7 linked regions of the Oryzias latipes genome follow. The protein of the gene in region 2 interacts with the protein of the main gene of each other region in a pairwise test. Links are inferred from orthologs where the notes say so. Each region holds a gene or a part of one and is shown on either strand. Other genes may lie near its edges.

Region 1 (4,220 bases), on a different chromosome or scaffold from region 2:
ATAGTAGAGCAGGTAATTAAAACACAATGCCATGGGGGGGGCCTGACTAGGGTGACAGTGTAGCAACTGACAAAGCCCGTCACCTACTGAGCAGCTCCTTCTTGACATCTAGTCAATACATCTTCATCCAGAATGCCAGCGAGTGAACTGTTTAGATAAGCCTGGTGTCTATTTAACCCAGCTCAGGACCACAATGCAAATTCATGTGACGGCCTTTCAGTCTTTAGAAAAAACTGTGCTCGAGGGGCGGGGGGCTTCTGGATGAGTGGAGTCAAGTCCAACTTTAATACCCATCATCTTCTTCTGCTCCAAAGTTCACAAAGACCTTATTACTAAAAACAATAAACAAGCAGGGCCAGCTAAAAAGCAGCAATAAATCAACACATCACAACATGTTGACTCCATGTCTGAATGAGTTATAGAGTAATAATTAACCATAAATCAAAATGTCAAACAATTAGTGAACATTTTGAGTTTTGAGGTGGCTTACATACCGTAAGAAGGCTGGAGGAACTTAAGGTATTGACCCAATATTTGTTCCAAAGGAGTTCCAGGAGCTTTCGATCCAGAGAAGACTTGAAGTAAGTCACCTCCAAGGCGTAATATCTGAATAGAGACAATCATAAAGAGTTGAAAAAAAAGATAATTCAGGAGCATGTTAAATATATGCATCTTTGATACATAAAGTTTTGATAAATAAAGTTTGATTGATTGATTTATTAAGAGTGGTTTAGTGCTTTAAATTTACTCACTGTTTACAATGAACACCAAAGTCTTCTATCTTGTTCAGCGGGATTGTTTGATATTCTGATGGTCCTTCATCTGGAGGTTTGTAACCCTGAAAATCCACAAGGAAAATGTTAAAAAATAATACAAAATAAAAAAAAAGAATTAGCACATTTGTTTAATCATTAACAAGTAAACAAATTAAGACATTCTGATGTATATTTATGACAAATATTTATTCAGATCCCTCCTAAAAAAACTAACATCAACGATTCGAACTTAAAATTTAATTTATGACTTCAATAAGTCATAACACCATGTTTCTCTTGGTCTTTGCTGTACCTTTGGGTATGTTCTGAAGGCACCTAGATTGACTTTCCCTGCAGAAATAGTCCGAGTGGGGTCGATCTGTAGGACACAAGATACAGTAAAACAGGAAAACAAAGTCAAAGGTCGGAATCCTCCAGAGACCACTGGAATCAGTTCACTAGGAGCCTTTTTCCCGCAGCTGTCAGTGTGAAAAAAACACACACTTAATTATACGACGCCCCTGGCGTCGAAGCCCTGCTGAACTAAAGGACGTGTAAATAGCATATGGGGTTGCAAAAGGAAAATAGTCAGTAGTGCAATGCCAAAACATGCAGTGAATGCATTAATAGATTTTCATTTACGTTCTTGTAATGTTTTTTTTTTAAAGACGAAACAGGAACTTTCCTCCTCATTTTTTAAAAATTCCACTAGCAGGAAATTACATTAAAATAACGTTATAAAAGTTTATACGTACAACAACAGCAACAAAAGGCTCCTGAAACTGCTGGTTGAGCATCTGAGTGCTCACGTCGATCCCTGACAGCCAGCATCCGTAACCCGGGTGACTGTGGTACCAGCCAATGGCATTCTCCAAACGGCCAACCTGGGGGGTTAAAAAGATAAATATAACAAAATTATTCATAATTATTTATAATACAATATTATAAAGTGTTTATTGTTTAATACAATGAAAAGGTTTTACTAAATCTGACGTGGCTTGCTTAGTTTCTAAAAAATACGGAAACTATTTATGAAAGGAAATAGACAGACTTCAATAGGTCAGTCGGGGATAGAAGTTATTTTTAAGCTTTTAAAAACAAAAAAATGAATATTATAAATGCTCTGCTATCCCCAAAGATAACTGGAAACAGCGGGACAGCAACTCAAGAAAATCCAGGCTGGACTTATTCCGGCTACCTGTAGCCCACCAAAAAAAAAAAAAGAAGAACAGTCATAACGACAATAGAAACTAAATAAAAGATTAGAACACTTCAATAGACATATTGACATACTGAACACAGAACCTATGACTAATAAATCTTAATAAGAGACAGTTTTTCAACAATTCCACCAGGAACTGTGTAATCTGTCAAGAAGAAGTAATTGCTGCTGTGTCATTTCAGTGTTGGTGTATGTTTTTACAATAAAATAACATGATCCCACCTGTTTGGCGTTTTCAATGTAGGCAGCCATGTATTCGTATGCTGCAGCCTGCGCGTTCACCCTGGTTTCTGTTCCCTCCACAGGCAAAGCGAAGCTGTCCATGATGATCATGGTCTCCCCGTCCACCTTCCCCAGCATGAGACCCATCACCTCCAGGTTCCCCCCTGACCTGGCATGCATCACCATCTTCAGCAGGGCCAACGCGGAGATTTTGCAGTACTTGAAGTAGTGGTGACTAATGATTTGAGAAAAAGAAAACACAATTAGTTTACGCGACACAACAAATAGGAATGAAGTCAATCAGGTTGAAAGTACTCTTTTGTCCACGGCTTCGCCGCGAGGATTTCTTGTTGTTGTTTTTTGTCGTATTTGTAAATTTCATCGATGCTCTGGACTTCCTGCATGCTGTTCGACAGCTCCCACGTTTTCTGAGCTGTACTACTTCCAGCCATGATAAAGTGTCAATTCAAAATACGAAGAATAAGCGTTTCGAACGTCAGTGACAACAACACAAACAAAGAAATTGTGTATATCCGTCTAAAGTAACAGGGCCAGACGTTCTCTTGCAACGGCAGCCATGACAGGGAACGATACCAAAACAATGACGTCGAAAGATTGAACCTTTCTTTGTTGATTTGGAAAAATACAAAAGTCGAAGTTTCGTATCTTTATGTATTAAAATGGATCATTAATAATATATTGAAAAAATCAATACAATTTATGTAAGAGTTAAAAGTTCTGCTAAATGTACCCATCAATTCTGGTACTGTCACCCCTCTGATAATGGTTTAGTCCAAAAGAGACGTCAGCAGACACTTGAGGATGCACTGGCATCTAGCGGTGAGACTTGTAAAAAGCAGACAGGTTTGAGAATATTTTTTATCCTGTTTTTAGAACTTTGTTTTTTATTTAATGCATTGTATATCTAATAAAGACCCTAATGGGAGATAACAGTTATTAATGCTGCAAAAAAAAAAACTTCTCGAAAAAACACATTAGCGAACGTCATTGGTCAAGAGTAAAGGTAAAACATCAATGTTACTTCGTGTTTGTCATCTTATAAAGCTTAGAAAGCACGTTTAGGATTTTCAAAGATATTTTTATTGAAATGCGATTAAGTTTGTATGATTACCACATAAACTTTAGATATACGGAGTTTTTTGTGGTTTCGTGTTTGCTAACTTCTTTAGCCTGTGCCAACCTTTGTGTCACGGTTGCCCATAGCAACGCTTGCTGCGTTGCCATTTTAGTGCGGCGAAAACATTCAGAATAGTCATAAAAATGTCTAATTAATTAAGTATGTATCCTTTAGAGTTAGAGTTTCATCTAAGGTTTCATTTTTATAGCTTTGTTCACTGCCAGGTTGTGCTGTTTGAGTTTATAATGGAAAACACCTAACTTTCAATTTGCATGCACCTGTATGCTGAGAAAGTTCTTGAATCTGACCTTGGACAACTAACTTTCTGTATGAATGTTTTTCATCATTTGCAGGTGATGTGCATTTTGTAAAACTCTAGCATCCACAAAATATGGAACCATATAGCTTATCATAAACAAGATGAAGTATTTGTGGTAGTTTTAATTTTCAATCAGTCCAATTATACTGGCTATTTATTTGCTATGTTTTTCTCTCTCTCTAGGTTTTAACTGAGGCTTAGTATCAGAGCGTGAAATGGAGGAACAGAAACCTCTTCTGGATCTGCGGCTGGACTTCAAATATCATGCAGCCAAGGTCAGATATCATACGATTATTATAGGATCATTTAAAGAGAATTTTTGTTGACTGTGTTACCTCTGATTCTCCATTCTGCCAACTTATTTTTCTATTTTTTATTCTTACATGTACCTTTTAAGGAACACGATTTAAAAACCTGTGAACCTCATCCACAACACCAAGGGCTTTCCTTACCTATTGATGATAGAGCATCCATAAAGGTGTGTCCTTGTGTGCACTATTTTTTTTTTTATATTGCCTTGTTCATACCTTTTATTTATTTATTTTGGGGTTTTTTTGCAACAGA
Region 2 (2,869 bases):
TGTATCAAAAGACATTTATTTTTGACCCCTGAAAAAACAGCATTTCTTCTGGTAACCTGAGCTTTTGAATAGAAATGACATTCTTTGACATTTAAAATCAATTTCCTTTTAAATGCAACTGTTTTAAAAAAAACTGCACTTTAGTTGAGAGAGAGTGTAATCATGGTGACAGTAAAACTAAGCGTGATGATGTCACACTTTTTGGAATTTTCTTTTAACCCCCTTTATTGTCGTTCTGCCTCTTTCAGGTGGTTGAAGATGGTTATGAGTTTTTTGCAAAGAGGCAGCTTGTGACCCTGTTTTCAGCTCCAAATTACTGCGGGGAGTTTGACAATGCTGGTGCCATGATGAGTGTCGACGAGACTCTTATGTGCTCTTTTCAGGTGGGCTACCTTTATTCATGAAGATACTACCATAAGCTGTTTGCACCAATATGATCTCAGGCTAACCCTAGATTAAGCATTCCTTTAAAGAAAATTACATTTCAAGACATTAAAACATAACTGCTTGTTTTGAGTTTGATTAAGGATTTGATACAGTTACTTAAATATTGATTTGATTTATACATTTTTAATTCCAACACCAATTGATTTGCTTTTTTAATAAATGTTTACTAAGTGAGTGATGGAAACTAAACAAAAATACACATTCCTTTTCTTCCCTATTCAAAGACCCACTTCGGTAAAGTGTGTTTTTGGTGTTTTTAGCATGGTCTTCTGTCATTTTTCTGATGACAAGGGAAACATATTAAGCTTAAAATTGCATTTCTATGTCTTTCTTTAAAATGATAAAAACACTATTTATAAAAAGGTGTATGTGTGACGTAGAAACCTTGTTGGGCGGGCCTCAAGCTCCCTGCTCTACTCTATTCTGATGCAAACAAATAGATCCATTTACGTCTTAGTTTTCCTTGTCTCAGCTGGAATCTGGATCAAAACTGTATGACTGGAACCCTTTAGTATTGCTCGCCATTTTTGTTCCACCACTAATGTAATATTGGGTTTTTAGGGGCTGTAAGATAGTGGGAGAGCATATGAACACAGAGCTCCTGGTTAAGGATGATGGGAAGGAGGTTGCAGGTTTACCCCCCCCCCCCCCCCCCCCCCAAAAAAAACAGTCAATTTTTAATAGAAAGTTGCCTTAAAGAAAGATTGACATTGCATTTCGAAATGTCAATCAAGTGGTTTATGCTGCCGTTCTTGGTGTTAGTGTTCCTGGGTTATCTTCAGGGAGAATCTATAGGTGTATTTGATTTTTGATTTCTCCAAATGTCTGTGTTGATCGAGTAAAAAAGCAGTCAGACAGCTATAAAAGTGGATAAAGCGCTGCAGCTGCTGCCTCTCAGCAGCAACAGCTGGAAGTCTTCTCTGCGGGGTTAACTTTCCAAAACAAAGACATGGAAAATACACCCTTTTTCTTAAAGCATAACTTTTATCCATGTTGTTGAGATGAAGCCGTATTAACATATTCCACTTACTAACCTGTTTGTTTCTTTTTTAACGTTTCTTACAAGCAGAAATCGTTTATTGTGTAGCAGTAAAGAGGAAATGTAACTCTTATTCTGTATTACTAGGGAATTTTAGTTTGAGTATACATTTGTTTATTTATTCTTTATTAAAAGCTTTAATATGAAAATAAGAAATGTCTAGGCCTCAAAGGACTGTTATTGGGTGTGTGGTTTTTTTTGGGATGTGATAAAACAAAGGCGTAACTCTTTACACTGGATTTGCAGATCTTGAAACCAGCTGAGAAAAAAAAGCCCAACGGCAGTCGTCCTGTGACTCCCCCTCGCAACATGGTGACCAAGCAAGCCAAGAAATGAGGCAGGCGCCAGGGAGCTGGTGGGGGCCAGAGTCCCACTCCTCTGGTCTGCTTTTGTTTTCCGCATTTGAAAGATCGGGTCTTCTTCACGCTGCCAATACTGAAGATACCCGCTCCCACTCGATGAAACAAAATGTTTTATTGTTTTGTCCCAAGGGGTAAGTTGATAAGTCACCATGGAAAACCTCAGGTGTTTTGCACTCCATTTGCAGCTAGTCTTTGCCACATAATGACTGTTCAATCAGGAAAATGTAACAATACGGCTACTTGTGCACAGGAATGCCTTTGTCTGAAGCTGTGCACAATTTTTCCACTTTTCCATGTCTCGTTTATTTGTCATCTCTTTTCCTCACTGTCAGTAATAATAAACAATGGCTATAAATCTATGAGGAAAGTCACAGACACATTTACCTTTGTAAACTCCATTGACTGTCAGTGTCAAAGAGAATTGTCAGAATTGCATCATATTTCTAAATAAGTCGCGCTAAGTTAAACGAATAAGGAAACATTCTGTAATATCAAAGTCTTTCTAATAAACTTTGAGAGTATTTGGGGGGGGGGGTTGATATCTTAATGTTATTTGTTTCTAAAACTTTTATGGCTCTTGATGAAAATAAAAAGTTGAAAACTTCACTGTGTCTAAATAAGTGCTCATGAATTATAAAGCAGGTACTAAAAAACACCCACGAAGACCAGCGCTCAGCCACCTGCAGCTCTTTATCGCTCTGTTGTGGCTCTCTGGTTAAAGAAAAATGATTGTCATATTTAAAAGTAACTATAAGGGAAGTAAGAAAGTTTTTTAAAAAGTAAGTTAACTCAAACTTTTTTTAAAACTCATTCACAAACATTTGAAGGACGGTACGTATCACACTTTAACAGATTTATTTGCACCATGTAACGGAAAATCAATTGAAGGTCAGTTGGCACAACCAGAGTTAAAGACCACCAGATTATGAGATGGATTTTTTTTTGTTATTTTTGGAACAAATGAAAGGATTTAAGTGCACCTTATGGTTCAAAAAATAAGATAAGGGTCACCTAAATAGCT
Region 3 (3,500 bases), on a different chromosome or scaffold from region 2:
AGTGGGCTCAGGCTGCAGGTGGAACGCGGAGAGCTGCCTGGATTGCGCAGCACCAGGATCATCACGGGCCTTTAGATTACTCAGCTCATTCTAATGTCATTCTTTATGAACTATTGTTGACATTTTGATGACATGTCTTTGTTTTCCATCAATGTATTCTTTGTCTGCCTGTCGTTTAGTTGGTGTCAGTATTTGACCGAAAGACAGCAGGTAATGCAAGAAAACAGCTGATCATAAATAAACATGGATGGTGGGGGTTGGGGGCGCGTGAAAATTTGTCTTTTTCCTAAGGGGGGGGGGGTGCAAAAAATAATTGAGAAGCAGTGCTGTACGGCAAAAGTCGCGTCCACAACTGTGAGCTAAATTTCTGATAAAATGCTGCCGCTCTGCAGAAACTATGTTCTAGGAAACTAAACAGGTTTTTTGATTTGAGCTAAAAACGGCATAATCATTATTTAAAAACAACACAGGAAACGCTTTGAAAATACATTAAAGATGAGTGGAGTGAGACTTTAAAATCATCGGGGGAAAAAGGGAAAAATTTCTATTGAAAGTCCTTTCAATAGAAATTGAAAGTCCTTCCACAGCAGGATCTCTGTTACAAATCTGTGATTTCAGCTCCGAATCAAAATGAAAGTGTTTCATTCAGTGAGATGATGAATGAAGTGCAGCCATCAGCTGACCGTCAGTCAGTCCATTCCCCTCCTGATGAGTCACTGCAGATCTGACTCTCACACCCAGGCTGCAGAGTCACTGCAGAACAAAGCCCGACCAGCATCGTGTTGGACTTCCTTCCGCCTGCCAAAGCCGCAGCTGACCCACCTAATATTGCACTGTTGAGAGTGGAGCAGACCGGCTCCCTCTGAATGGCGTCCAGCTGGTAGCCGACCGGGCTGCTCCAGGGGTCCGAGTAGGCCAGCAGGCTGAACGCGTCCTTCAGCGGGAGACAAGGAACCATCAGACATGACCGTTTCTGTCCTCTGCAGCTGCAGGACGTTTCTCTTTTGTCCCGTGACATTTTCATCTTTTTTGTCAGGAAAACAGTGTCAAAGCTTCTGAGCCACATGCAGACTGATGTCATGGAATATGAGCCGTGTGGGTAATCTCTAGAGATTAGAGCTGATCTCATTCAGTGCAGCAAGATTTCTAAGGTGGATTTTTATGAATCCACAGCGGAGGAAAAAACAAACATGGAGTTTTGGAATTTGATAAGTAAAAATATTGTTTTCATTTACACTAAACTTTATTTTAAAGTTTGCACATGAACGACAAAAGTCTCAGAACCAAAACTTTAGGTCAATATTAGGTTCTGAAAATGAGACGTTTGTCAGGGCCGAACTCTGACTTCACCTTCAGCATCTTCTTGTTGGCAGAGTTCTTGCCACACTCGCGGCGGAGGTGTTCACTCATGCTCTGGAGCTCCCTGCCGAAATGGATCATCCTCTCGATGGCGGCCTGGCTCCCCCCGCACAGCTGCCTCTTGACCTGAGCGGACTCCACCTCTGAGGTGGGGAGGAAACAGTCAGTGATCTGATGACACTCAAACTTAACGGCAGGAGAAAAATCCCTGGACTTTGCTGTGTGAAAGCGCGTCCATCACGGGAAAAGCATTGCAGGCCGTTTCAAAAGCTGCTGAAGGCAAAGCAAGCGCCACGCAGGAGGCTCCGCCTCTGCACCCACCCATGTCTGCGTCGCAGTCCTCCGGCTCCGTGGCGTGCTTGGACGTGCCATTGAGGAAACCATTAGAGGATAGTTCTGTCACTCCGTTGGTGAAGTGGTCGACCTCCATGTCCACGTCGTTGCTGTAAAGTGGGGGGGATGCAGGGTCAGCAGGTGCAGACATCTAACCTCAGTCCTAAACTAAGACTGTACCTTGTGATGGGCAGCTGGCTGCGGCTCCCATTCAGACTAACGTCGGTGACTGGGAGGGTGGAGCCAGAGCCAGGGGGGCAGGGCTTGTGACTGTGAGGGGAGGAGCTGTGGCTCTTACTTGATGCCACGCCATTACAGCAGTTGCTGTCGACCCCTGCAAACAAACCAGCAGCAGGGATCAGAGCGGCTGCAGGGTGGGGGCTCATGGCCAAGCGCGGGACTGTACCGGTGAGGTAGGACTGCGAGCTGCCGGCTTTGTGGCCCGGGCTGCTGAAGGAGCGCGGCGAGCCAGGGTAACTGTCCTGAGACTTGGGGCTGCGGCCCCCCAGACACCTCACCTCGCTGTCCGTCCCGTTCACCATCTCGATGAACTGTCTCACCCTGAAAATGAGGGACACAGAGCTCAACCAAAGAAGTAGGAATTAATAATCGCCAAAAATCATCGTTAAAAGACACTCCCACCTGAGTGAAACTCAGGATTTATCTCCTACGATAAACTTTTACCCCTTAAACTAACCTCCTTCAATACCAAACATCTGCCCCCCACACACATGGAAATATAACAGTATTTTTCATAGATCCTAGACTATTGTTTTTTTCCTGGCCTATACTCCATCCATCCATTTTCTGAACCCACCATATCCCAGAATCACTGAACACACAGAGCATAAGCTGGTGTGTCCGGCGTCCACACATACACGAGCACATGCAAACTCCACACAGAAAGGAACCCTTTGATTCAAACCAGGGCCTTCTCACTATGAGGCAAGAGTGCTAACCACTACTCCAACACGACTCGCATATTGACTTTCATATTGTGATTTTACAATCCTTGTATGCTCCTCACACCAAATAGATTATTAGGCAGTTTTAAGATTCTGTGTTTGTGTGCATGTTAGCGCTCTCGTCCCAGCTGGGAGCATTTGTGTGGAGTTTGCTTGTCCTCCTGCATGTGTGGGTTTTCTTCGGCCACTCTGGCTTCCTCTCACAGTCTAAAAACATGCTTCTCTAAACTCCCTCTAGGCGTGCATGCGAGTGTGTGGCTCTGCATCAGAATGGGTGTGCCCCGCCTTGGCCCAGCAGTAGCAGCTTTCCTACGACCCTGAAGGGGATCCAGCGGGTTCTGAAGATTTATGGATGAGGTGTGTTTGTGTGTGTGTGTTCCTACTTGAGCATAAAGAGGAGGTCCGGGTTCCGTTCCAGGAGGTTGGGGTACAGCTGCTGGGTGGTCTCGATGGCTTCACCCATTCTACCCGACAAAACCAACTTCTGGATCTCTGCAGCCAAAAACACGTGAATGTCAGTGCTGCTAAACGTCATATACATTTAACCCCTATACTTTTAACATTTATATGGGGGGGTTAAGGGCGTGCTGGAGGGAAGAAGACTTTTAGGCAGAGCTGTGCTTTAATTTGACCAGCAAGTCTCTGGATACTGCAGTTTTACTTTGCGGCGTTTCGCAGACTCACTCTGTCTGTTTTTGATGGAGGCCAGCTCCTCCTGCACGGCCTGGTCCGTGGACTTTGCGAAGGCTTCGGCTGTGGCGCAGTAGCTGTGGTGCACCAGGTAGGACGCCACCATCCTGACGAGACAAGAAAGGACTGGAACTCAGTGAGGTCCATGAGGCG
Region 4 (3,500 bases), on a different chromosome or scaffold from region 2:
TAATACAAACTGTAAAGGCCCGGAGATAAGAGAGTGAGGATTCTGAGGTCGTACGAGCAGCCTGTATCTGGATAATCGTATTCGACTGACACAGTTATGCATTTGACTTGAGCTGTGTCGTACTTCTGGTGACAAATCTCCTCGCCAGAGATTTATCTTTGCGACTCTGTGGCAACTGGCTGGGGAGCACCTCAGCGGCGGCGTCCTTTATCTGTCTGCCATGTGTGCGGTTGATGGAATGACAGTGATGCATAATTTAGCGTGCGCTGAAAACATCCTGCGCTCCTCCTCTGGCTCAGCTGTCCGATCACATCCCCTCCTGGATTGAAGGCGACTTTCACGGGGCACTGCCCTCTCAGAGAGCCAGCCACCTCTGAATTTCTCCTTTCATCTTGGTTTTTCTTTTCTCCCACCCTCATCTTTGTGAAGGGGGAGTCGTTGCATGACAGTCTTTTTGCCCCGCTCACTTCGTCCATGTACGCTAGAGAAGCTCCAGATTGACTACAAACCTTCGCCTTGCCAGGATTAACCTCTCGCCATTGTTTCTGCCCGTTGAACAGGATTAACAAATCAATGTGTCAGGTAGACTGCAGCCAGGAGACAATGACCCAGTTCTGACACCACTGTGCCCCCCCCCCCATTCTCCTTCTCCTCCCCCTTCTGCCTCACTGCAGCTTTTAATTAAAAAGACTTTGCTTAGCTGGCTCTATGTGCTCCCTTGAGGATGCCTCACAGCTTTGTTTTCCTCTTTTCCTTGTGAATTGGGGGAAGGAATGATGGCAAAAAAAAAATGTAAGGTGAACCCTTGTGTGCTTCCACCACCCGGAGCTGTGACAGAAAAGTACAGTGTGTGCAGTGTGACGCTAAGCGCAGACATCGTCCGCAAAGTAAGTGAGCACATAGGCAACAGATGCGGCGTCCAGGTGCTTGTGGATTGTTCTAAGGCAAATCCCCTGATGTGTGAATCAAGGAGCTGCAAAGAGCAGTTGGAGATTACTCTAATGTACTCGAGTACATTTACGGATGGGAATTTATTGGCTCCTCTTCTGTACGGTAAAACACTGAGGGGGCTTCTCTGTGGCTGAATCCTTTTATGTTTGTTGCAGACGTGACCTATTGCAAGGTGATTCATTCATCATGACTGCACAGGGATAAACACATCTGACTGAAGCAATCGCAATAACCTTTTAATATGGCTGCAGAACTGGTGACACTGCCTATGCAAGCTGCTGTTCCGAACTTTTGTAAATTAGCACCATTTTTGCTCACCCGTCTCCTCATGCATACTTAAATTACCCCCCGCTTTGCTTACCTGCTTTGATTTTGTTTCTTTGTGCTCCAAGAATGCTGACTCCGGCAGAAAATCAGGACAAGTGAGGTATTCAGGTCACACAAGGGTTTCAAGATCCAGTAAAGTCATGAGGAGCATTATTACTGTGACTTGTCTTTAGCATATTAATGAGTTGTCATGGCAGTATGGTGACGGTGAGATGCTACCATCAGTGTCATGTTCTGCCTGCAGATTGGATGCAATTACGACAAAATCCAAATAATTACAGGTGTTTTATAAAGAAAAAACCCAACGAAGCGTGTCTGGATATTATCATAAACTGAGGTGCATGCAAAGTGGGGTAAAAGCTGCAGCAGCTGTAAGTGATTTGACTGCAATTCCACAGACAGTAAACAGTTTGTTGGAGAAATGATCTGTTTACGGCCAAAGTAAAAGCCTCCTTTTCCTCCCCACATCATTGATGGGAGTGTCTGGACCAGAGCCCAGTCGTGTCTTTGCTCTTTCCTTCCTTCCTGCATCCCTCAGTCCAAACTTGCATGAGATCCCCGAAGTTGACCCCTTAAACCGTGACTAGGAGTACCTGCCCCAGCTATCAGCCATCACTGCTTTGTACTTCCCAGAATTTGCCACAAGCTGTAGGATATCCCATAATGCTAAAACACTTCAGCGCTGCTGTTTTTTTTCTTCCTTAAAGAATGTTAATTTTTCACATTGTGGGTTTTCTTCTTCGATCCGTTAGAACGCCTTGAACTTTGAGATGCTAAACAACTGAAAACTAAAAGCTGGTGCACAGAAGCAGCTTTTTAAAAGGGGCGTAGAAGCGACGTAGCGTTCTCAAAAGCGTGAACCCATTGCAGTTTTTTTCTTTTCCTTTTTGCCCATCTGTCTCAAAGGATTGATTGTTTTGCTCTCTGCAGTAGCACCCCTCATGAGAGCCATGAAGAAATGCAAGCCTTGCATTTGCTGTCTGCATATTCCAATATATGTATTTAATGTGGACACATAAGCAAGATGAATGGCGAATATCCCCAGGCCCTCGCCCGCTTATTTGATTGCTGTAGCATTCTGAAAGTGATTAAAATATCTGCAGTGAAATGGTTTGAGCACCTTTGTTTGGTCCTTACTTTAATCAATGCATTTCCAGGGCTGATGGGATTTGTAAAAGGGTGAAGGGTCCAGTAATTGTTGACTTAGGCAAATGGGACTGATTGATTGCTTCCTGTGCCATGGCTAACTCCCACTCTCAGCTGAGTGCAGCATGAGACTTGGATGCTTGCAGTCTCTCACATGGCAGAGCACAGGACTCGCTGTACCAAAGGGATGGCACAAAGCTTTCGTGTGTTCAATTAGGCACAACCATGGTGCAAATGTAGTAATTTAGCAGAATAGAAAAAAAATTGTAAAAAATATGATATGGGAATAACCATCGTTTCTGTGCCATTCTCCACAGACTGCTGACACTAGCGCCATGAGTGGGCTTCTCAAGAGGAAGTTTGAGGAGGTGGATGATGATCCGTGCTACTCCTCACCCTCCTCCCTCTCCTCTGCCTGCTCGGCCTGGGACTCGGAGGGGGATAGCTGCTACTCTGACACCCTAGATTCAACTCCCAGCAACCCCAGCTCCCCAGTAACAAACTTCAACAGTAAGTTTCTTCTTCTAGTTGCACTAAATGTCTGAAATGATTTTGTTTTGTTTTGTGCATTCCTTTACCTTGGCTCAAACATCCGCTGAAGCGCTGCTAACATCCTATAAAAATGGGGGAGAGGTGAAGGAATTTCTGCTGCTGGCAGCCCATGAAACAAGACATGATTTCAGACTTCTTCAATGAATGCATCCTTTGATTTTATGCCCTGGAGCTGCAGAATGGCTAATCACATTAAGTCTGGCTTGCTCACCTAGTTTCTGCCTCCACCCTTCTCCTGGATCCTCACTCGCAGCCTCACCGTTTGGGCCAACACGTAGGTGGGCAGATTTAGGGTGTTTGTGTCTGCAGGGCCTGCTTGAGAGCGAGGTTTGCTCAGAAAAGAATTGTTTTATGCGGGAGGACGGGCAAACAGTTGTGAGCCTCCACGGTGGTATGTATGGGGCAGAACGCCAGGAAGGGAAACATGGCGAAATGCCAGATCTGGGAACACACAGCGCCTTGTCTGAAGCTCGGGCGTGCACCCAGCACAGGTGTTGAAAGAGGTCGGGTGAAGGGGTAAAACC
Region 5 (2,728 bases), on a different chromosome or scaffold from region 2:
TATTCAGGATTTCATATTGAAGATGAAAATGTACAAATTCTACCATAAAAATATTTAAATGTATTCTACTTAATTTACTAGGAAAGAAAAAAAATAGAGTTTTGTTGATGGAAAACTGTTGAACGGAGCAGCAGTCATTCTTTTGTGTACATTCAGGTTTACTTGTTTATAAAAGAAATCTTTAAATCATCTTCCAAGCATACAAAATATTTTATGACACAGATTTAAGCTTGTCATCTTCAAACTAATCATTTAACAAAAAAGGAACATATTCCTATCAAAATAAATCATCTTATGGTCCAGTTATACGACATTTGTCTAGTGTTGCTGAAAAAGTTGTGTAGTTTAAGTCCTGCATGTGAGAAAGAATGCAAAGAGCTTGAAATAAATAACAAATATCCAAACTAGTTACTCCATTGAAAAGGTTCAGACAATTACTGGCCAAAGTCAGTTGGTTCCATCGTCAGTGATTTTTTTATTGTTTTAAAGTGGCTCCTTAAAAGGCTGTTATCACTTTAAAGCAGAGCTGGTCTTGGTTCTGCTGCCTGCAGGCTCATGCTTACATGAGGCCACAGCAAGGCTCTTTGCTGCTGGTCTGGTCCTCCTCAGGGGCTCGAAGCTTCAGCAGTGGAGGATCCCCGCTGGATGGGGTAAAGTACACCTGGCTGGGAGAGACCGTGTCATTCGGAGTGGGGGATATCTGGATCTCTGATTGAGCTGGGGTGGCTGGCATCTCTCCTGCTGCTGCAACTGAAGGCTCTTCCTCCACTGGAGGAGGGAGAAGAGGAGGAGGAGGAGCTGGATATTTGTTGAGTTTAGCAGCTGCTCTTTGCCGTTTCAGGTCAGCCAGGGTGTGGTGGGATTTCTCTCGGCTCATGCTGTCAGCAGAGTCGCCCTCTGCAGACGCTGATGCAGACGCTGATGCAGACGCAGAGCTGAGCTGATAGGAGGCACTGCGATCCATGAGACCACTTCCAGTCCAAAGCTCTCCCGGGACAGAGGAGGACAGAGAAACAGAGGTCTCTCCATTGCCTATACAAGAAGAAATTTTCCTGTCAGCAGACTCCAGCTCCTCTAGGCGCGATGTTGCTGCTCCCCCAGCAATCTGAAAACAAGCGGCAGATTCAAAAGAGCGTTCAGGACTCTGATGCGGCTGAATGAGCAGTGGAGTCACCATAGCAGCGTGCTGGTGCAGCTCGTTGTCCGTTTGTCTGTCTTCATCATCGTCGTGAGGTTCGGGCTGTCGGTCACGCTCCTGCCACACCATGGCCTCCTTTTGGTGTTCCCGTCGGTACAGGCTGGAGCGTTCATTCACGCTGACCCTACGCACCACCTTACTGAGGAGACAGACCAGAAACTCTCAGGAGTAAATCACTGTGGGGTTTGAACTTTTCTGCCTTTGTGCTCAGTGGGTCTCTGGCTTAAACCTCTAAAAATAAACATGCTTTAATTCAGAAATTCCCAAATTGACTGTCTGTAGGTTCTTATATTTTAAATTAGACACATTCTGGGTCTCTTGAGCTGCTTATCTCACCCTCTACTGCCAGTACTAGACGCTCGTTTTTGCAGAGTGCCTTTCTGTCTGTCCTGACTCTTCATGATGGCGTCATGTTTGTGCTTTAGATCCATCAGTTTGGCTCTGACCTCCTCATCCATACAAACATCTGTGAATAGAACAGAATTGTAAATGTCCCATTCATTTATAAACATAACTTTTTTTTTTAGATTAAATAAACAAAATCTTTGCATTTGATTATGAAAAGAGTCTGAATTCATCTGACCTAACGGAGTCTCCTCCAGAACAGACTTTGCATTTAGACTGGCTCCATGGGCCACCAGCAGTTCCACTATTTGGATCTATAAACAATAACACAAAACAGTATGGAGACAGCAAAAAGAAAAAAATATTGGATTCCAGTGTGGATGCAGTAAGAACCTGTCCCCAGCAGGAGGCAGCGTGCAGCGGCGTCCATCCATCAGAGTCCTTCACCTCCAGCTCAGCTCTGTTGGTTAGCAGCAGCTCAGCTACAGACATGTAGCCGTTGGCAGACGCAATGTGGAGCTAAGAGGAGAAAAACATTAAAACTCCACATAAATAAAACTAACAAGTATAAATTTCTTTGAGAAGAATAGCAATATTAATCATGCATATTCCACTTTATGAGATGGAAAGTTTACAACACTGAAAGTATAAATAATTGTACGTTTTATTATTAGCCAGACCACATTCTCCTCTTTCTGGTGTTAGAAAACCAGGACCAGAAAAAAGGAGCATTTTACTCTAATTTTAAAATCTTTGCAAAGGCGCCCAGTCAGCTTTGGCATCAATTTTTAGATTCTTTCATTTGTTTGTAAATGTCTCAATGGAATTGGACCTTCATGTTTTTTATCAGCATGGTTTTGGTTAAGGGCTTCCCCAGAGCCGTAGGATCCTCCCGTGCAGGTCTGCCGGTGATCTCAAAGGTCAGGACAAAAACCCGCGGTGAGGATCCTGCCTGAGGATGTGAGAGCTCCACCACTGGGAAGGTTTTAAACATCAACTCCTCTATTTACCTTTGCTTTCAAGTAGATTTATGTTTCCTTGTGTTTAATGGACTGTTTTTCCCTGTATGTGTGTTGGGGGGATTTTATTAAAATGACTATTTTCCCTATTATTTTAACTTCATGTAAAGCACTTTGAGGTGTTCTGTGACAGGAGAAGTGCTCTATAAGTCAAGGTGAATCTGAA
Region 6 (4,245 bases), on a different chromosome or scaffold from region 2:
CTAAAAAACTTTACTAGAGTTAAAAAAAATTCTCTCTTTCCAGAAGAGCTTCGTGTGTAAAAACAACAGGATGTGGATCCTCACCCGAACCTCCACTGGGAGCGGAGGGGCTGGGGGCTCGTCTGAGGGCGGGGGCGGAGGGGGGGCGCTTTTGGGCGGATCAGAGGGAGGGGGAGGAGGAGTGGTGTGGCTTGAAGCTGGATGTGGAGGAGGAGGAGGCGCATCGCCGTCTTTCTGGCTCTGCCGCGCTTTCTCCTGCCTCAGTTTCTGCAGATTCTTCAGATGCTGTTTGTACCAAAGTTGCTGCTGTTCCTGGAAAAAACAGATCCAGCAGAAAAAAATTCACTCTCTTCCACTTTAGGTGGCAAAATGTCCATTTTAACATCAACGGCTAAATTAGCATTTAAAGTGTTTAAAAACAACAGAAACCCGGCAGTTCCTACTTTCTGTGGATAATAGTTTCGTTCTTTCTGGACTCAGTACACAGCTTTTATAAATGTACATACATTCATATTTAATCAAAACAAATGTGTGTGCAAATGTTCCCACAGATAAAACCACTCATTGTGAAAATATGAACCAAATCAGGTTTTAATAAAAAAAAAAAACATGTCTGACTTGACAAATACACAAATTAATTTACTTTAAAACTGTCTCGCTTTTTTTATTTCCCAAAAAACTGTTTTTTGTTAATTTTCACAGGAAAAACTTTTAAATTTAATAACAGAAACTCCACTTTTCATCCATAAAAGGTTGTATTTTTTATTGGAAATTTCAAAAAGGAACTAGAAGGAGCTGCATTTTCTGTTTCTCTTTCTTTATTCTATTATCTTCCTCCATTTTTTGCCGCTTAACTCCTCTTACAATGTTTCAGCTATTTCAACCATCCAACCATTCAAATGTTCAGCTCTTTCCGCTTTTTCCAGCTGTGACTTTTGGTCCTTCAAATCATTGAACTTTTCCAGATATTCCAGGATTTCCTGGATTATATGTCCTGTCCGCTGTACCTGGTTGGTGGTGAAGTGACACAACACGTGAGCTGAGGTGCACAACTGCCTTTTTCACAAAGATTTCCTTTTTGTTGTTGTGCTGTTTTCACTTTATTTACTTTCTGTTCATTCACTCTATGTCGACTTAGATCAATTCTTTCTTTTTTTGGTGCCAATTCTTACCCTTTAAGTCGTATTTTCATTCAGCAATATAGTATTCAACACTGTATTTTCTTCTTGAAATGCGTCTCCTAGTTTAGCTTTATTTATTTTTTACAATCCTGAACACTTTTGGGTTTGGGTACGTTGCCTAATTTCGGGCCGATGATCTTGTCTGCAGCCAAGTCCATCTCAGTTTTACCTTTCCAGGTGTGTTCATTTGCTTCTTCAGAAGACCCCAATAAACTAAGCTGTCCTTTAAGTACAGCTTAGCTGAAGTGCGCTTTTTTAGTATAATTTTCCTCCCAGAATTGAGAAACTGTTGAAGCAGCAATAAGTCACAATATAAATGATTTAAAGGCTGCAACAAAACAGTTAATTTATCAATGCATTTATGAAATAATACACTTCCTTTTCACACCTGAAATTTGGTTATAGCTGTTCATTTAATCCATAGAGCAAAAACCCCTTCTTTTTTAAAAAAAATATAGTATGTAGGAGCATTTAAGACACCTGTTACAGGTGTGCAGCTCCAATCTAAGATCATATCATGATGGACCTGCTCAGCCTCCAGCTGTGCAGCCAAACTGTTAAATAAGGGCTCCATGGATTGTTTACGTGGATGTTTTAGCTATAGACGGGTGACATCATCACTGGACAAAGCGGGCATGACGTCACCTGTAGAAAAAGCCTGTGAGATACTGTTTAGCTACAGATGCAGGAGGTCAGCTCACCTGTGGGACCTTTGGGCTCTATTCTCAGCGGTTCGTCGATCAGGTTTGAGTGTACCTCCTGAGTTAATTGTTTAAACAAAACAAACAGGTTTAGTAAACTGTTTACCTGCAGAGGCAACGACTTGTCTTCCGCCGCGGAGCAGTCCTGAATCCCGGCCTTTGTGCCTTTGAAAGCGCCGTTGCTGTCCGGTGGGTTGGGCGTCTGGGTCTGTGGAGGCGGGGGACCAGGTTGGGGGTCGGCTGGGGGCTGCTGGGGCCCCTGCGTGGGGGCTGGAGGACCCGTGGACGTCGGAGCCCCCTCCTGATTGTAGAAAGCCTGGGTGCCATCGTCTTCTTTAGATCCCTCCGAGTGCCACGACTGTCCGGGATACCCCCCCGAGTGTCCGGAACCGAACTGGGACGCGTTATTCCCGTGGTGTAAAACGGACTGGAGCTGCTTCTGGTGCAGCATCTGGAGCTGCTGCATCTGCTGGCGGTGCTGCTCCTGCAGGCTGGAGAAGAGCGAGCCGCTGGACGGGGCCTCGAAGCCGCCGAACCCCGCAGGCTGGCCGGCATGGTTGCCGCCCACAGGCTTCCGAGGTCCCGGGCCTGCAAAGCTTGGAGGCGGAGGCACACTAAAGTTTCCCCAAGAGGGATACATCCTTAAAAACGAAGCTGCAGGCGGAGGTCACGGCCGGGCCCGAAGCGGCGAACAAAGCTAGCAGGCGGCGTCCAGCTGCGTTTAGCGGGAAACGCGGCTACATGGCGGACCAACAATCACCGCAAAGACCCAACATAAAGTTCTGAACCCTTCGGGATCTGCTACGCGCGCGTGTGCGCGTGGAAATGCTGTTTTCAATCGTTAAAATGTATTTTTCTTCTCGTGGAATGGCTGACGGTGTTAGCCGAACACGCCACCGGCAGCGGAAATACGTCACAATTTGCGTGACTACTTCCGGTCCACACTCAAAACAAAAATGACCCAAAAATTAAAGAAAAAGTAAGAATAATAATAATCCAGAGACAATTGCTGAATGACTTGGTTTGTAGAATATTTCGTTAATTTTTGTAATTTTTTCTGGTAGTGTTATTCAGAATATTTGAATTTATTAATTTTTCAACTTTTAAATCTCAAAACAGACTCGCGTGAGAGAACTAAAGAAGCAATTGAGTCATTTAAACCCGTTTTATGCAGCTTTTCGAGTCAATTTCACGTTTTAACGTTTTAACATTAAATTTTTTCTAAATACATTTTTAGCTTTCCATGTTTATTATGTCAAGCCAAGTTTATATTCACTCCCCTATTGATTTTTTTTGGCACAGCGTCATAAATAATTTACACACACACACACACACCTCTTTTTTTCTGTTTTATGCTTTACTAGAATAGAATAGAATAGAATCTTTTTTGTATCCCAAAGGACAATCATGAGCTGCTTGCATTCATTGCACATCGGACAAAAACAAACAAACAATAAAATAAATAACAGAATAATATCACAATAATGGCCAGAGATTAACATCTCTAAAAAAACACCCTAAAACCCTAAAATATTCAATAGTTGAAATCTCACATCCATCTAATTTCCCCACTAGATGGGAGCATTTACTGACACATTTGTAATTTATGACAGAACCGTAGATCAGTGGACTTCCTCTTGAGGAAACATTCATGCTGGGACAGATTTGCAACTGCAAAAAAAAAAAAAAAACTCTCAAATAATTCAGATTTTGTACAAACTCCCGGCTGTCAATCCCAATTTCTATAACATCCTTTTTTTTTTTTACACATAAATTATTTACAAAATGCACAGTGTCACTATGTCTGAGCAGAACATTTGCTCATTTTTATAAGTTTAACTCAATACGATTTTAAAGAATTTTACGTTCAAATTTTAAGTGTTATTCTCTTTTCAGATTATTGACAGGTTTCCCTCCACATCATTGCACGCTGCAGAAAAACAAGCTAGTTTTCAGTGATTCAAGTCTGTTCCTGCAACCTCAGTGGTTGACATAAGCCGATAAAAGGGAATTATTGTGTCAGCAAGTTAGATTTGTATGAAGTTCATTTATAGTTTTTGCTTGGTAATTGTTGTTTTTTTTTAATTCAGGGAGTTATTTAAACATTTTTGTGTGTTAAAAAAATTGTCTGTATTTACAGCTTTTCCTGGTTGAGGCAAAAGCACTTTTAGTGTTTAATCGTTTTTAATCTTTTTTGTCCAGATTTGATTATTCAGTCAATCGTCTCAGCAAAGATTGTTGTTAAAATACTTGAAGTTAATGTGAAAAAGAAAGTGCAGTGGTGTCTTACTGTACATTGCATTAATTTGACTTTAAACAATGATTCATACAGAGAATGAAAAGCAAACAGTGACAGTAAAGGA
Region 7 (3,300 bases), on a different chromosome or scaffold from region 2:
AACCAGGGTCTTCTCGCTGTCAGGCATGAGTGCTAACCACTGTTCCACCATGCAGCCCACATTTATTTCGTCTCTGTGTTATATCAGCTTGGTTAGCATCAAAAATATAGTTGCAACCAGAAAATTGTGCATGAGAAAAAGGTTCCGGAATTTAATTGCATACAAAAATCTGTGCTCCATCACCATCTCTTCCTGCTGTGTAAGGTCACAGGTGTTGCTGGAGCCTATCCCAACTGATTTAGGGCAAAGTAGGGGTACACCCTGGACAATGTGGGAGTCCTTTGAAGGGCCACACATTGGTTTAAAAGAATCAATTAACCTATGAAGCATGAAAACCCACTCTTGCATGAGGAGAACATACAAACTCCACACAGAAAGGACCCAGCTGGGATTCAAACTTGGACCTTTATGCTTTTAGGCAACAGTGTTAACCACTCCTCCACAGTGTACATGTAAGCTATCCAAAACATTAAGAAATCATAAACAACACAAAATCAACCTTTTTCTTTTTTCAAAGTGAACTTTATTCTCTTTTGTTTTTTTGTTTTAGTTTTGTATAAAAACCCTTTTGGCCACTTTAGGCAACAGTTATTATGAGAGTAGATCTCAGCTTTTAAATGAAGTTTTCTGAAACTGAAGTCTCTCGCACACCCGCTTTCACACGTAGAAACACACACAGTCACAGAGTACTGCTGCAAATGAGGCGCAGTGGTCCCAAACCTAAATCTATTAGTAGAAAGCCAAAGACAGAAGCATCACAACAGCGTGTCACCATCGTCACTTCAAAGATGGTACTATATCAAGTCAAGTCACGCAAACAAAAAAGGGCTATAATAAATCTGCAGCTTCACCACAACGACCAGAGGCTGCAATTTTTTAAACATTTTTTTTAAAACGTTTTTTTTAAAGTTTGATGGAGGATAGGAGCATCACATAGTTAGGTTTGAAACCAGGATTATATTAAGACAATAAAAAAGGCAAACAAATACATCAGACAGCTTATACACAGAAGTGCATCCTGTGTCGGGCGAGCCGTTGCCGTGGGCGACAGCAGGAACCTCAGGCAACAAAACATAGGACTGACTTGGTGTAAGAAGTGTCGGCTTGCTTATGCAGATCAGTATTACTCAGACGTAGCTCAAAAAGACGCTTAAACAAAAAAAAAGTTACACGCTAGCATTTACAGTCAGTCACGAAAAAAGAGCTCAGTCTCTAATCACATATTGCGTTGAACCCCCCTCCCTCCAGAAGGGGGCTCTGGGGTCATTCTAGTTTCATTATGTCACGGTGGCAGGGAGAAGATCTCCGACATCAGCACCTTCCAGGTTTTAAAGCCCCAAATCTAAAACAGCGAATACACACACACGCAGGCACACACTCCTTCCTTTCCCCTCTACTGTTCACACACACACACACATAAGAGCACAGACACATATATGCCACACACAACAGTTGCACAAAACCAAAAGTGGCGTCACATTTGTGTTTCCTAGAGTAAAGAGATGCAGTTTGGATTCTTCTTCCCGTTATTGTCTTCATCTTGACATTTGGCTTGATTCAGAATCAGCTCTCGGAGACGCAAACATCCCAGTTAACGTGGTTTTTCAGCACATGGCGTTACAACAAACCAAAAAAAAAAAAAAAAAAACATCTCCTTCAACAGCAACTAATCCACAATAGACATAATAACCAAAGATTTCATCTGGATTTCAACTATAAGTAACATTTTTTCGTCTTTTTTTTTTTCTTTATTTCTTGACAAATAGACTGCACTCGTACAAGCAGTCCACGTGAGCCGGAGCGCCGGCTAAGGCCGGTGCTGATCCGGCGCCACAACGTTGTCTGTCCTCAATGTGCATACAGGTCAGAAAAGCAGCTCTCTTGCACATTGCAAATGCATATACAGTACACAAAGACAAGTAATTCCAGGATTATTAGGTCTATATTTAGCAGAGGATACTAATCAGAGGCCTTCATTTTGGCTCGGCACGGCGTGCTGTTAACGGACAGTGAGGCGGCAGGAATCTCAGCACGCCAAAAAACTATTTGTGTTTAGTGTCGATATCTTTATTCACCGCCCAGGGAAAGGCTTATGTCCGCACTGTGTTGGAAAAGAACAAACATGCTGCACTCCTTCATACATTTTTTTTCCATTAAGGCCCCATAATAACCTCTCATACACCAATGCTGCCTTTAAAAAACGCATTTTTTTTCCTTTTTTGGGGAGTGATCTGTCTGCATGTGCTTTCAGCATCTCTCCTCTGTTGGATCGTAACAACGCTTCGTTCTGCACATATTTCAGCGACTACACTTGAACATGTGGCGATGAAAGCAGTAATACGTGTGGAATAATGAAACTTTCTCTTCTAAGATGAAGCGGTTGTGCAAAATATCTACGGAGAAGTTGATGCTAAACTTCTGGAGGCAGTGGGTCAGCTTCTCTCTCCGAGCAGGGCTCTTGCAGCTCTTTCTGGACGTTCTGCTCAGGCGTGCGGGCCGCTGCACGCTCCTCTGAGTGGAAAACCACGCTGGTCAAAGATTCCTCTCCTCTGCTGGAGCTGATTCCTTCTCCCTTGAACTCTTCTTCTAGTTTTCTCTCTGCAAACACCGCCTCCTGCTCCTCTTCCTCCGGTTTGGGCAGCGTCTCAAAGGCTCCGGGCTCAATGGGACTGAGCTGATAGTAGAGCAGAGGGGTGGAGTCTTTGAGGAGGTCAGAGGGACTCTCCTCTTGGTTATCAGAGATGCACAGCACAGTGGCCCCTGTGGGGAAGGGCCCCTGCAGGAGGACCTGATCTACACCTGGCACATCTCCCTGCTTGGTTAGCTCCTCCCTTAATGCACTGGGGAGGAGGCACAGGCGCTGCTGCGCGGGAGCACTCAGCTCCCGCTGCACTGCCTGCCCTTCTGCCTCCTCCCTCTCCCTCCTCTCCTGCTCCACAGCACTCTGCAGGTGCAGCACGGCCGTCTCGTTCTCTCGCTCCAGTATATCCTGCGCCGCCATGAAATCGTGGACCTCCTCCACCGCCTGCACTTCGCTTTCCTCCAGCTCTGAGTCTAGCCCAGTGCTGGTGGACAGAGTCGGGGACGTGGGGCAAGTGGAGGAGGGGGAGGAGGTGGGGTCTGACTCGGCATACTGCTCCCCGGCCTCGCTTATGAGCAACCGCCGTTTCTCCAAATCCAGCTTCATGATGGTGTGCAGGTAGTGAGTTCTGACGCGCAGGGGGTTGAATTCGACGCGGCCCGCCATGTTCCCGCAGCCGTCCCTCGAGCATCCGCACGGGAATGACATCCGATCCACCT

What was found.
Region 1: the proteins of ppp1cc (region 2) and cops5 interact in a two-hybrid assay, tested with the Homo sapiens proteins (2 studies listed by BioGRID and IntAct). The link is inferred for Oryzias latipes from reciprocal best matches to the Homo sapiens genes PPP1CC and COPS5.
Region 3: the proteins of ppp1cc (region 2) and ranbp9 interact in binary tests that used the Homo sapiens proteins (3 or more experiments, as listed by UniProt). The link is inferred for Oryzias latipes from reciprocal best matches to the Homo sapiens genes PPP1CC and RANBP9.
Region 4: the proteins of ppp1cc (region 2) and cysteine/serine-rich nuclear protein 1 interact in binary tests that used the Homo sapiens proteins (3 or more experiments, as listed by UniProt). The link is inferred for Oryzias latipes from reciprocal best matches to the Homo sapiens genes PPP1CC and CSRNP1.
Region 5: the proteins of ppp1cc (region 2) and ppp1r16a interact in binary tests that used the Homo sapiens proteins (3 or more experiments, as listed by UniProt). The link is inferred for Oryzias latipes from reciprocal best matches to the Homo sapiens genes PPP1CC and PPP1R16A.
Region 6: the proteins of ppp1cc (region 2) and ylpm1 interact in a two-hybrid assay, tested with the Homo sapiens proteins (2 studies listed by BioGRID and IntAct). The link is inferred for Oryzias latipes from reciprocal best matches to the Homo sapiens genes PPP1CC and YLPM1.
Region 7: the proteins of ppp1cc (region 2) and csrnp2 interact in binary tests that used the Homo sapiens proteins (3 or more experiments, as listed by UniProt). The link is inferred for Oryzias latipes from reciprocal best matches to the Homo sapiens genes PPP1CC and CSRNP2.

Annotation. Positions count from the first base shown.
Region 1 is NC_019878.2:17,008,820-17,013,039, reverse strand, and holds the start of cops5 (COP9 signalosome complex subunit 5), read right to left. Parts: upstream 2,801-4,220; 5' UTR 2,652-2,800; coding exon 2,515-2,651; intron 2,435-2,514; coding exon 2,200-2,434; intron 1,640-2,199; coding exon 1,511-1,639; intron 1,135-1,510; coding exon 1,069-1,134; intron 839-1,068; coding exon 753-838; intron 607-752; coding exon 495-606; intron 1-494. Other genes in the region: cspp1 (centrosome and spindle pole-associated protein 1), read left to right, coding at 3,872-3,931, 4,054-4,134, 4,220-4,220. UniProt on the Homo sapiens protein: Probable protease subunit of the COP9 signalosome complex (CSN), a complex involved in various cellular and developmental processes.
Region 2 is NC_019867.2:25,502,798-25,505,666, reverse strand, and holds the end of ppp1cc (serine/threonine-protein phosphatase PP1-gamma catalytic subunit), read left to right. Parts: intron 1-248; coding exon 249-383; intron 384-1,732; coding exon 1,733-1,822; 3' UTR 1,823-2,369; downstream 2,370-2,869. UniProt on the Homo sapiens protein: Protein phosphatase that associates with over 200 regulatory proteins to form highly specific holoenzymes which dephosphorylate hundreds of biological targets.
Region 3 is NC_019875.2:8,733,949-8,737,448, forward strand, and holds part of ranbp9 (ran-binding protein 9), read right to left. Parts: intron 3,455-3,500; coding exon 3,342-3,454; intron 3,150-3,341; coding exon 3,041-3,149; intron 2,254-3,040; coding exon 2,099-2,253; coding exon of another isoform or gene 2,027-2,098; coding exon 1,873-2,026; intron 1,803-1,872; coding exon 1,681-1,802; intron 1,503-1,680; coding exon 1,351-1,502; intron 935-1,350; coding exon 823-934; intron 1-822. UniProt on the Homo sapiens protein: May act as scaffolding protein, and as adapter protein to couple membrane receptors to intracellular signaling pathways. Acts as a mediator of cell spreading and actin cytoskeleton rearrangement.
Region 4 is NC_019878.2:18,354,150-18,357,649, forward strand, and holds part of cysteine/serine-rich nuclear protein 1, read left to right. Parts: intron 1-2,741; 5' UTR 2,742-2,759; coding exon 2,760-2,934; intron 2,935-3,500. UniProt on the Homo sapiens protein: Binds to the consensus sequence 5'-AGAGTG-3' and has transcriptional activator activity. May have a tumor-suppressor function. May play a role in apoptosis.
Region 5 is NC_019878.2:14,890,721-14,893,448, forward strand, and holds the end of ppp1r16a (protein phosphatase 1 regulatory subunit 16A), read right to left. Parts: intron 2,063-2,728; coding exon 1,937-2,062; intron 1,858-1,936; coding exon 1,782-1,857; intron 1,665-1,781; coding exon 1,535-1,664; intron 1,338-1,534; coding exon 1,175-1,337; intron 1,106-1,174; coding exon 560-1,105; 3' UTR 501-559; downstream 1-500. UniProt on the Homo sapiens protein: Inhibits protein phosphatase 1 activity toward phosphorylase, myosin light chain and myosin substrates.
Region 6 is NC_019882.2:1,500,398-1,504,642, reverse strand, and holds the start of ylpm1 (YLP motif-containing protein 1), read right to left. Parts: upstream 2,801-4,245; 5' UTR 2,523-2,800; coding exon 1,989-2,522; intron 313-1,988; coding exon 85-312; intron 1-84. UniProt on the Homo sapiens protein: Plays a role in the reduction of telomerase activity during differentiation of embryonic stem cells by binding to the core promoter of TERT and controlling its down-regulation.
Region 7 is NC_019865.2:22,401,820-22,405,119, reverse strand, and holds the end of csrnp2 (cysteine/serine-rich nuclear protein 2), read right to left. Parts: intron 3,299-3,300; coding exon 2,411-3,298; 3' UTR 501-2,410; downstream 1-500. UniProt on the Homo sapiens protein: Binds to the consensus sequence 5'-AGAGTG-3' and has transcriptional activator activity. May play a role in apoptosis.